Coturnix japonica: one gene and its partner. Each later gene encodes a partner of the first gene's protein in a complex. Links are inferred from orthologs where the notes say so. Each region holds a gene or a part of one and is shown in the gene's direction. Other genes may lie near its edges.

Region 1 (3,560 bases):
GCTTAATTTGCACTGAGTAACCCCAGCAGCCAATGAAACGACTCCCGAACAAGTTGCTGATCGGGTGCGGTGGAATGTGTGTGCAGATGTGCAGAGAGATAGCTGTGTGTATCTGTAAATATTTGTCTCATCTCTCACACCTTGATCTCAGCACACTTAATTGGGCACACCCACAGCTACCTGCAGTAGCTCCCCTGGGTATGGAGTACAGCTGTGCTACCGGCCCGTCTGCTCTGCTGAAGGGCAGCAGGAAGGCAGCTCTCAGTGCACGGCAAATGCTGCGGGTAATCTGATAATAGAACTATTATCTGATTAGTATTATGGGATGCAAAGTGGCTTTTGAGCTGTATCTACCTGGTTCACTCAGCTGCCTCCTGCTGTGGCACTGCAGAGCACAACCACTGTCTGTTACTGGTGCCAACAGTTGTAGTCACTTTCCGATTCATTCTTTTCAGACAATTGGAATTCTTGTGCAAACAGGCACGGAATGGTGCTGCTTGCAGAGCAGTGAGGTTCATGCAGACACAAGTCTCTATGCAACAGTACTGTATAGATAATAGCATTTTTCTTCTCTTTCAATACTTAGGGTGATGCAGATGTGGACAGCACTACATACGACGGCACAACGCCTCTTCACATAGCAGCTGGAAGGGGCTTTACGAAGCTGGCAGCAGTTCTCAAAGCAGCAGGTATTGGGTCAAGTGTTTGTTGCAGGGTTCTCTTTAACTGTGCCAGTTCAGGTGAAGGCGTTGCACACAGTCAGTGAACTTCATAATGAGCAAAAGATACCAGATGTTAAAAGCATAAAGGTTTGTTTCTCCTCTGGGAAGTCCTAGTTTCAGAGGCTCTGCTACTCTTTAGCACCATCTAATGGCTACAAAAAGCAAAGCAAAACTGTGTTAGTAAAAATACTTCCAAGCAATCTTGGAGGTTTGGGGTACTTGCAGATAGTTTTTAATATGAAGCAGACAAAAGACCCAGTTTTATAGTTGGGATAAGGCTGGACTGCTTTACAGGCATAGAAACTGGGACCACTTCTCTGCAGTTTTGAATCATGACAGTAAATTTGGTTTTGATTGTGCATTTCAATGCTTTTTTCAGTTGTGTTTCATCCCTTAATACCTGGATTTTCTCCATTGAGACAGAAATCCAAGCCTCCCCCTGCTCTGGCTGTGTGTTTGGTCTTTTAATAGCACTCCTGCTTTCTGACACTACAAAAGGGAAGCCCTGCACCAGTGCTTCGTCACATACATGCTGTGTGAGCCAAGAATGGAACTGGAAGTCAGTTTATATCATCAGATGCTTTCTTTGGGCCTAACCACACGGCTTGTCTTTTCTTCCCCATCTGTATAATGGATGATACATGGGGATGTTGTGACATTTCACTTCAGTTTATTTAGGAAAAAAACACCATTTTCGGAGTTAAAATATGTATTCTCAGTCTTGAATTGTAAACCTTCTAACGTAGCTGTTTAAACCGTGCTTTTCAACAACGTGATGTAAAACAGCTTAAAAGCCTTTCCTTAGAAATGCCTTGCACGCTTGTTCTCCAGGTGCAGATCCTCACATTGAGAACTTTGAGCCGCTCTTTGATGTTGAAGAAGATGTGAAAGATGATGATGATGAAGGGATTGTACCTGGAACAACACCACTGGACATGGCAGCCAACTGGGAGGTACGTGGGCTGCTGTCTTTTAGTACTGACAATTCGTTTAATTTCATCCAGTTATTTAAATGGTGACAAATTTCTACAGCACCCAAACTGGCATCACAAACAAACTTACTGAGCCACAAGAAACAGTGAAGTAGTATTGGAAAAAAGCTCCTCAGAGTAGCTGACTTCTGTTGAGCAGGATTGAACAGGCATTTCTTCTAAGTAGTTGCATTGGGGTTGTCAATATGGAAGAGGACAGCAGACAGAGCAGCATGTGCCTGAAGGTGCTTGTTCAGGGTCTACAAGGTCAGGGTGAGACACTGTAATAAGTTTCTCTGCTGCATGGTCTTTAGAACTGCAGACTGGATGATATGTAGTGAAAGTAGACTTTTGTGTCTTACCCAAACATTGGTTAGATTACATGGTTCGAGCTTCAGTATCCAAGTACACACAGCTGGCATGATGTGAGCATGTAAGGAGCTGGCATCTCTGATCAAATGGAGCTCGGCTGGGGAGTGCTACTGAAAAGGTGAAAATCTAGCCCAGGCTTTGCTTGAAATTACTGGCTGTAGACAGCTGCTAACTCCCCACTTAACTTCTGCTACAGCCCCTCGCTTATTGCACAGGCTGCTTCTGTGTCCTGGCAGTAACTGCCAGATGACAGAGCTTAAGGGAGATGAACTGAGGTTTATCCCTCATGGTATGCACAGGTTTTCTGTAATTTTTTTTTTTTTTTAAATGCCCATTTAGAGATTTAGTGCTGTACAACAAACAATACCACCAAAACTTGTCAAAATAATGGACAAATAACCAGGTTTTGCGAAATACTAAATTGAATATATTCTCTTAGGTGTATGACATATTAAATGGCAAACCCTACATAGCAGCAGCAGCAGTTTCGGAGGACTTACTGACACAAGGTAAAGTCTGTAAAGATGAGCTGGCAACATCCCCTTGGGAACAAACAGCAGAGCACCAAAGTATGTTTGCAGAAGAACGTGACTGCAGCAGCTTGTGAGGGAGGTGGGGAGGGAGAAGGGGCACTCACTACCACTGCGGTCTTAGAATGAGTCTGTTCAGAAGCATGGCACGAGGGCCCAAGTTTGTACATTTCCAATATTACAGCAATATATTAGTAAGTACCAGAGATGCTAAAATAGATACTTTTAAATTTGTCTGTGCTTCTGCTTAGAAATGAACTGGTGTGTGATTGAGTAAATAACAGATGTATTTTTCTGTTCCCCAGGCCCTCTGAGGGAGCTGAATGAAAGCTCCAAGCAGCAGCTTTACAAGCTATTGGAAACACCTGATCCAAGCAAGAACTGGGCTACTCTAGCAGAAAAGCTGGGGCTTGGCATTCTTAATAATGCCTTCGGATTGAGCCCTTCACCCTCAAAAACTCTGCTAGATAACTATAAGGTAATGTGGCTGTAACAAGTTATTAAGAACATGCAGCTGTGCAGTGAATGCTGTCCTGCCCAGTGATACAGCACAGCCCTTTGGTTTTAGCGAGCCAGGATGAAGCTGAGCATCTGCTGTCTTCTCTCTTAGATTTCTGGAGGTACAGTTCAGGAGCTGATTGCTGCTTTGAGACAGATGGATCACACAGAGGCTATTGAAGTAATTCAGAAAGCACTATCCAGCTCTCAGAGGCAGTCTCACCAGGAGGACAATGCAATAGAAGCTTTTCCTTCATCATCGCTTGCCAATTTTGCGAAGGGAGAGACAGGTAAAACTAACAACACAAGCATCAAGCACCTTTAAAACATTTTTTAGTTCTCCTTCCTCACTTTGGACTGCTAATAGCAGATAGATATAGCAGATATAGATAGCAGAGTTCCTCAGACGTTGTGTCTGAGCTGCTTACCTACCACGTAGGGCTTTCTCAGTTGACATTTACTAGGTG
Region 2 (4,259 bases), on another chromosome or scaffold:
GGGCAGCTGCAGAACCCTGTGAACATCACTCATGGGATGTGCATTGGGATGGCACACAGAGGTTGTGGTGGCCCAGGGATGGTCCTGCTTCCTGCCAGCTTCCTGGAAGCACAGGGCTGATTCCTGGAAAGTACAGTATGTGGCAGTGCTCTCCCCCTCCTTTCTGTCATTGTTCAATGGCTTCTCCTCCGTCTTTCAACCAGATGTGCTCTGCCAAGTGTTCAAGAGAGGCTGGGTGATTGGGTACGTCACCAGTGAGAGCAGAGCTCTGTGTGCACTGCGCATATGGCTGGCAGACACCCAGCACACCCATCTAATTATTAAATATTTATTGCACCTTTAATGGGTCAGTTACAACAGAAGAGTGCTCCCAAGGAGCAGGCTGCAAGGAACGGGAAAGCACCATTAAAGACTGTCAGGGCCAGATGAAATGCAGCGTGGTAATGCACTGCAGATAACCCGTCTCTCCTGCGATAAAACGTGGTGCAGCTGTTGCTGCAGGCAGTTCTTCCAGCAGCTTCCTCCCTTTGGCAGCTGTCTGCACCATTGCTTAATGCCGGACGTGCCCAGCCCTCTGTGACATGGCCAGGCTTGGATCTGCTGTGAAACTGGCCCTTCTGCTGCACTGTGTGATTCTCACTGTATCCTCTGGTCACAAAGTCCAGCGCCACTTAGACACTGTATAATGCCTTGGGAGAACTGCTGGCTGACGGGCCAGGACTGGAGGGTTGTATTAATGGGGTTACATGGCAGATTGTCACCAGTGGGGTCCTGCATTGGCTCCATTTAAGGTCCAGTCTCTTCAGTGGGTTATCGGGGAGCTGAGTGCACACTGATTGTCCTCTGATGGTGCTGAACTAGGGGAAGCCGTTGGTTCCCATGCAGGAACTGGATGATCTTTGGGGTCTCTTACAAGCCAAGGGGGCTGGGAATAAAAGGAAAAGGAAGATATGGAGCATGGGCAGACAGGGGACAGACACACGGACATGGGGACAGGCAGACACGTGGCACGGCCAGCACACAGCCCGTGTCGCAGCACATGGGTGCTGGAGGCAGAAAAAAAACCCAGTTTTAAAACGATTTTAAAACAGAATCGAGAAATAAAACAGGAGGAGTCCCCCCATACGGGTTCCCACCCCCTCCCCTCCTCCAGGGCAGGATCCTGCCCGCCACTTCCTGCTCGGCGTTACGCAGCACTTTTTCTTACAGTCACACGGTTGGTTTTTTTTTTCTTTCTTTTTTTTTTTTTTTTTTTTTTTTATTTCTTTTTTTCCCCCTATTTTCCCTCCTCTCCCCCCTCTCGCTGCTCCCCCCAACCCCCGCCCTGTGAAAGAACTATAACGGCCGCTCCCCTTCCCGCCTCGTGACGTCACCCGCGCCATGGGCGGGAAGGGGCGTGGCCCGGCGATGGGCTGAGCGCTCAGTGCGCATGCGCGATGCAGCGGTGGCTATATAAGGGCAGGCCCGGGGCGGCGGCGGCAGAGCGTTGGTTTGGCGTTGCGGAGTGAGGACCGGTATAGACACAGCCGAGAGCGCAGCGGCGTGCGGGACGCGCGTGCGCGGGGACGAGCCCGTTGTCCGCCTTGTGACCGTACAGCACAGTGAGAGCCGCCATGGTGAAGAGCGTGGGCAGCCTGGTGAGTGCATGGGGCGGCACGGTGGGGTGTGGGTGAGGGGGGCTTGGTGTCGGCGCCGGGCCTTGGGCCGCGCTCCTTTGTGTGCGCTGAGCCTGAGGCCGCTCCCCAATGGCGGCTGCGCTCCGGCCGCAGGGGGCACTGCGGGAGCGGGTTAAACTGCAACACGTCGCCCTGACCCTTGGCTGTCAGCTGATGGCCGCGATCACAGAATGACCCGGGTTGGGAGGGACCTCAAGGATCATGTAGTTCCAACCCCCCTGCCTGGCAGGGCCACCAAACATACGCCTTTACTAGATCAGGTTGCCGGATCAGCACGGCCCAAGGGCGGCTCGGTGGGTGTCAGACATCGTGCTTATAGCTGGGGTCTTGTATTAAGGCTGTCCCAGCTATGCTGAGGGCGGTGGATTTCTTACGGCGTTGGTTGGTGGCCTCCATTTTGGGTTGCTGGGAATCCCTGCTGCATTGAACCTCTCCTTGCCACCTGTTTTCTCGCAGCCGGCCCTTGGAAACTGAAATCTGCTAACATAATGCTGCCTGCTGCGCCCAGCAAAGTGAGGCCGAGGCCTCAGGGAGGCACCAGATGGGTATTTGAAAAGTGTTTATGGGCTTTTCCCCTCCAGAGGACTAAGGAAAATATTGCTGAAAAAGCTGTGAGATCCTCTAACAGCTGTAGCCACGTGGACTAACAGGGGGAGGTGTCCATTCTGATAATGGAGATATTTCTGTATGAATCTTATTAATCCATACTTACTGCAGAAAGACTAGAAGTCAGAAAGGTCAGCCAGTTTTCCTGCTGTATTCCTTACTTCAGGGATATTAATGTTTTCTGAGGAAAAAATACCAACACTTACCCCTTGCTGGGTATCTCAGGGGTAACACCGTTGGACCTCGTGTCTCTTCTCAGGCTGCCTGTAGCAATTTTAGCTAATTCTAGGGATGACTCACAGGGTAACGCCTGGCTGCAGCTGGAGAGCAGTGCTCAGATCTCCAGTGGTGTATGGGTTGTGATCTGCAGGAAGTGCCATGTCCTCCCACTTTGCCCTTGTTCTGTGCAATATTGCCCTGAGATGTGTGGTCATATGATCAGCGCGTCCCAGGGATGGCCTTCCTCATGCAGGGTACAGCAATCAGTCATTTGGACTGAGGAAAATAGTCCAATTGGTGGGTGCAGGAGGTAGAATTAATATTAATAAGGCTGTTACAGCACTAAGTTGTGAGAATATATGCCAGAAATCAGGGATTTGGAGGTGGGAGTGAGTGAGGCTCTATTTAACAGCCTTATGGTTTTAAGTAACCACTGGGAGCAGATAGCATGGACTACTGTGTATGTGAACGCTGAACTTTGCTGGAGGCAGTGTTGTGCTTTAGAGACTGGGATGCAGGAATACACCCCACATTAGCACAGTGGTGGAGAAGAAGAGAGAGAGGAAGAACTTCTTGCTGCCACCCTTGCCTGTGTGTTGGATCAGCATCCTCTGCTTGCTCTGCCTGAGATACTTGTTTGTTTTTTAGCATGCAAATATTTCTTTCCTTCAGTGCCTTACACTTCTGTTGAAACATTTGCTCTTTGAAAACAGCGGCACATAAGGAGCTCTGAAATGCAAAGCGTGATGTCCAGAAATGTCTCTTGTAACAAAGTGCAACAGAGATATCTCTGTTAACCTTAAATGTTAGTTGTTACTGGCATAGACTGTGTAGCTTTGCATTGAGTACTGGAGTTACACCCCAATTTACTTGGCATAATAAAATATTTATATGATGAAGCTGTTGCTCTAGGAAACATGCTGTAGGGTAAACCACGCAACATCTTGATTCTAACCATTGCTTGGGAAAGGTATCAGACCATGAAACTGTGGAAGTTTGTCCTCAGATTCTGAGGAATCCTAGAAGAAAATGGACGACATCCTATTAAATTGGAGATTAGAACTGAATGCTAAGGACCGTCAGGATCACGTTAGAAGTGTAACATTACTCAGTTTAGCTTACGGTCTCAGTTCATGCTGAGTTCTACATAAACTTCCACAGTTCAGTGACTGAGCATTGTGATGTTTCATAATTGATACTCATAATTCATCAGAAGACAGTGGGGGATGCAGTGCTGATGGAGCTAAGGGAAAGCTGACTTGGGGGTTAGTCTTGAACCTTTTGCAAATGAGGGGGGAAATCCTTAATGTTTTGATTTCTTTTTTCTTTACAGTCCGAATTTGAGGCAGAACTGAAAGCTGCTGGTGAGAAGCTTATAGTAGTTGATTTCTCTGCCACATGGTGTGGACCATGCAAAATGATCAAGCCATTTTTCCATGTAAGTAGCTTTTGTCTTTCACAGTAACTTTAAGTATATAGAAATACTTCTGTGCAACTTCTAATATGGTGGAAACCTTCTTTGTCTATGGTGTGTTTTCCTGAAGGAGGAATCTTAGAAGGATATGATAGGTAACTATTGAATAAAGCACTTGGATACACAGCGGGGAACTAACACACTGTAGCGTTTTGTCTGTCCTGGTGTGCTGATGCATCAGTCTGTAGGGACCTAGCTGGTGCATTTCCACAAGAACTGGCAACAGTGGAGTTGAAATAATGTATATATGCTGGCTCTGATTATTTAAACTGCGTTCAGTTAAG

Evidence for each region. The genes of interacting proteins can lie anywhere in the genome.
Region 2: the proteins of NFKB1 (region 1) and TXN are in contact, whole or in part, in an NMR structure (PDB 1MDI), measured with the Homo sapiens proteins. The link is inferred for Coturnix japonica from reciprocal best matches to the Homo sapiens genes NFKB1 and TXN. Residues at the interface, in NP_001158884.1 of Homo sapiens: Arg56, Phe57, Arg58, Tyr59, Val60, Cys61, Glu62, Gly63, Pro64; in NP_003320.2 of Homo sapiens: Thr30, Trp31, Cys32, Pro34, Met37, Ile38, Asp58, Val59, Asp60, Asp61, Gln63, Ala66, Ser67, Val71, Lys72, Pro75, Ser90, Gly91, Ala92.

The regions. Positions count from the first base shown.
Region 1 is NC_029519.1:54,750,968-54,754,527, forward strand, and holds part of NFKB1 (nuclear factor NF-kappa-B p105 subunit), read left to right. Parts: intron 1-586; coding exon 587-689; intron 690-1,553; coding exon 1,554-1,675; intron 1,676-2,504; coding exon 2,505-2,574; intron 2,575-2,900; coding exon 2,901-3,073; intron 3,074-3,205; coding exon 3,206-3,383; intron 3,384-3,560.
Region 2 is NC_029547.1:59,052,524-59,056,782, reverse strand, and holds the start of TXN (thioredoxin), read left to right. Parts: upstream 1-1,412; 5' UTR 1,413-1,613; coding exon 1,614-1,637; intron 1,638-3,834; coding exon 3,835-3,939; intron 3,940-4,259. UniProt on the Homo sapiens protein: Participates in various redox reactions through the reversible oxidation of its active center dithiol to a disulfide and catalyzes dithiol-disulfide exchange reactions.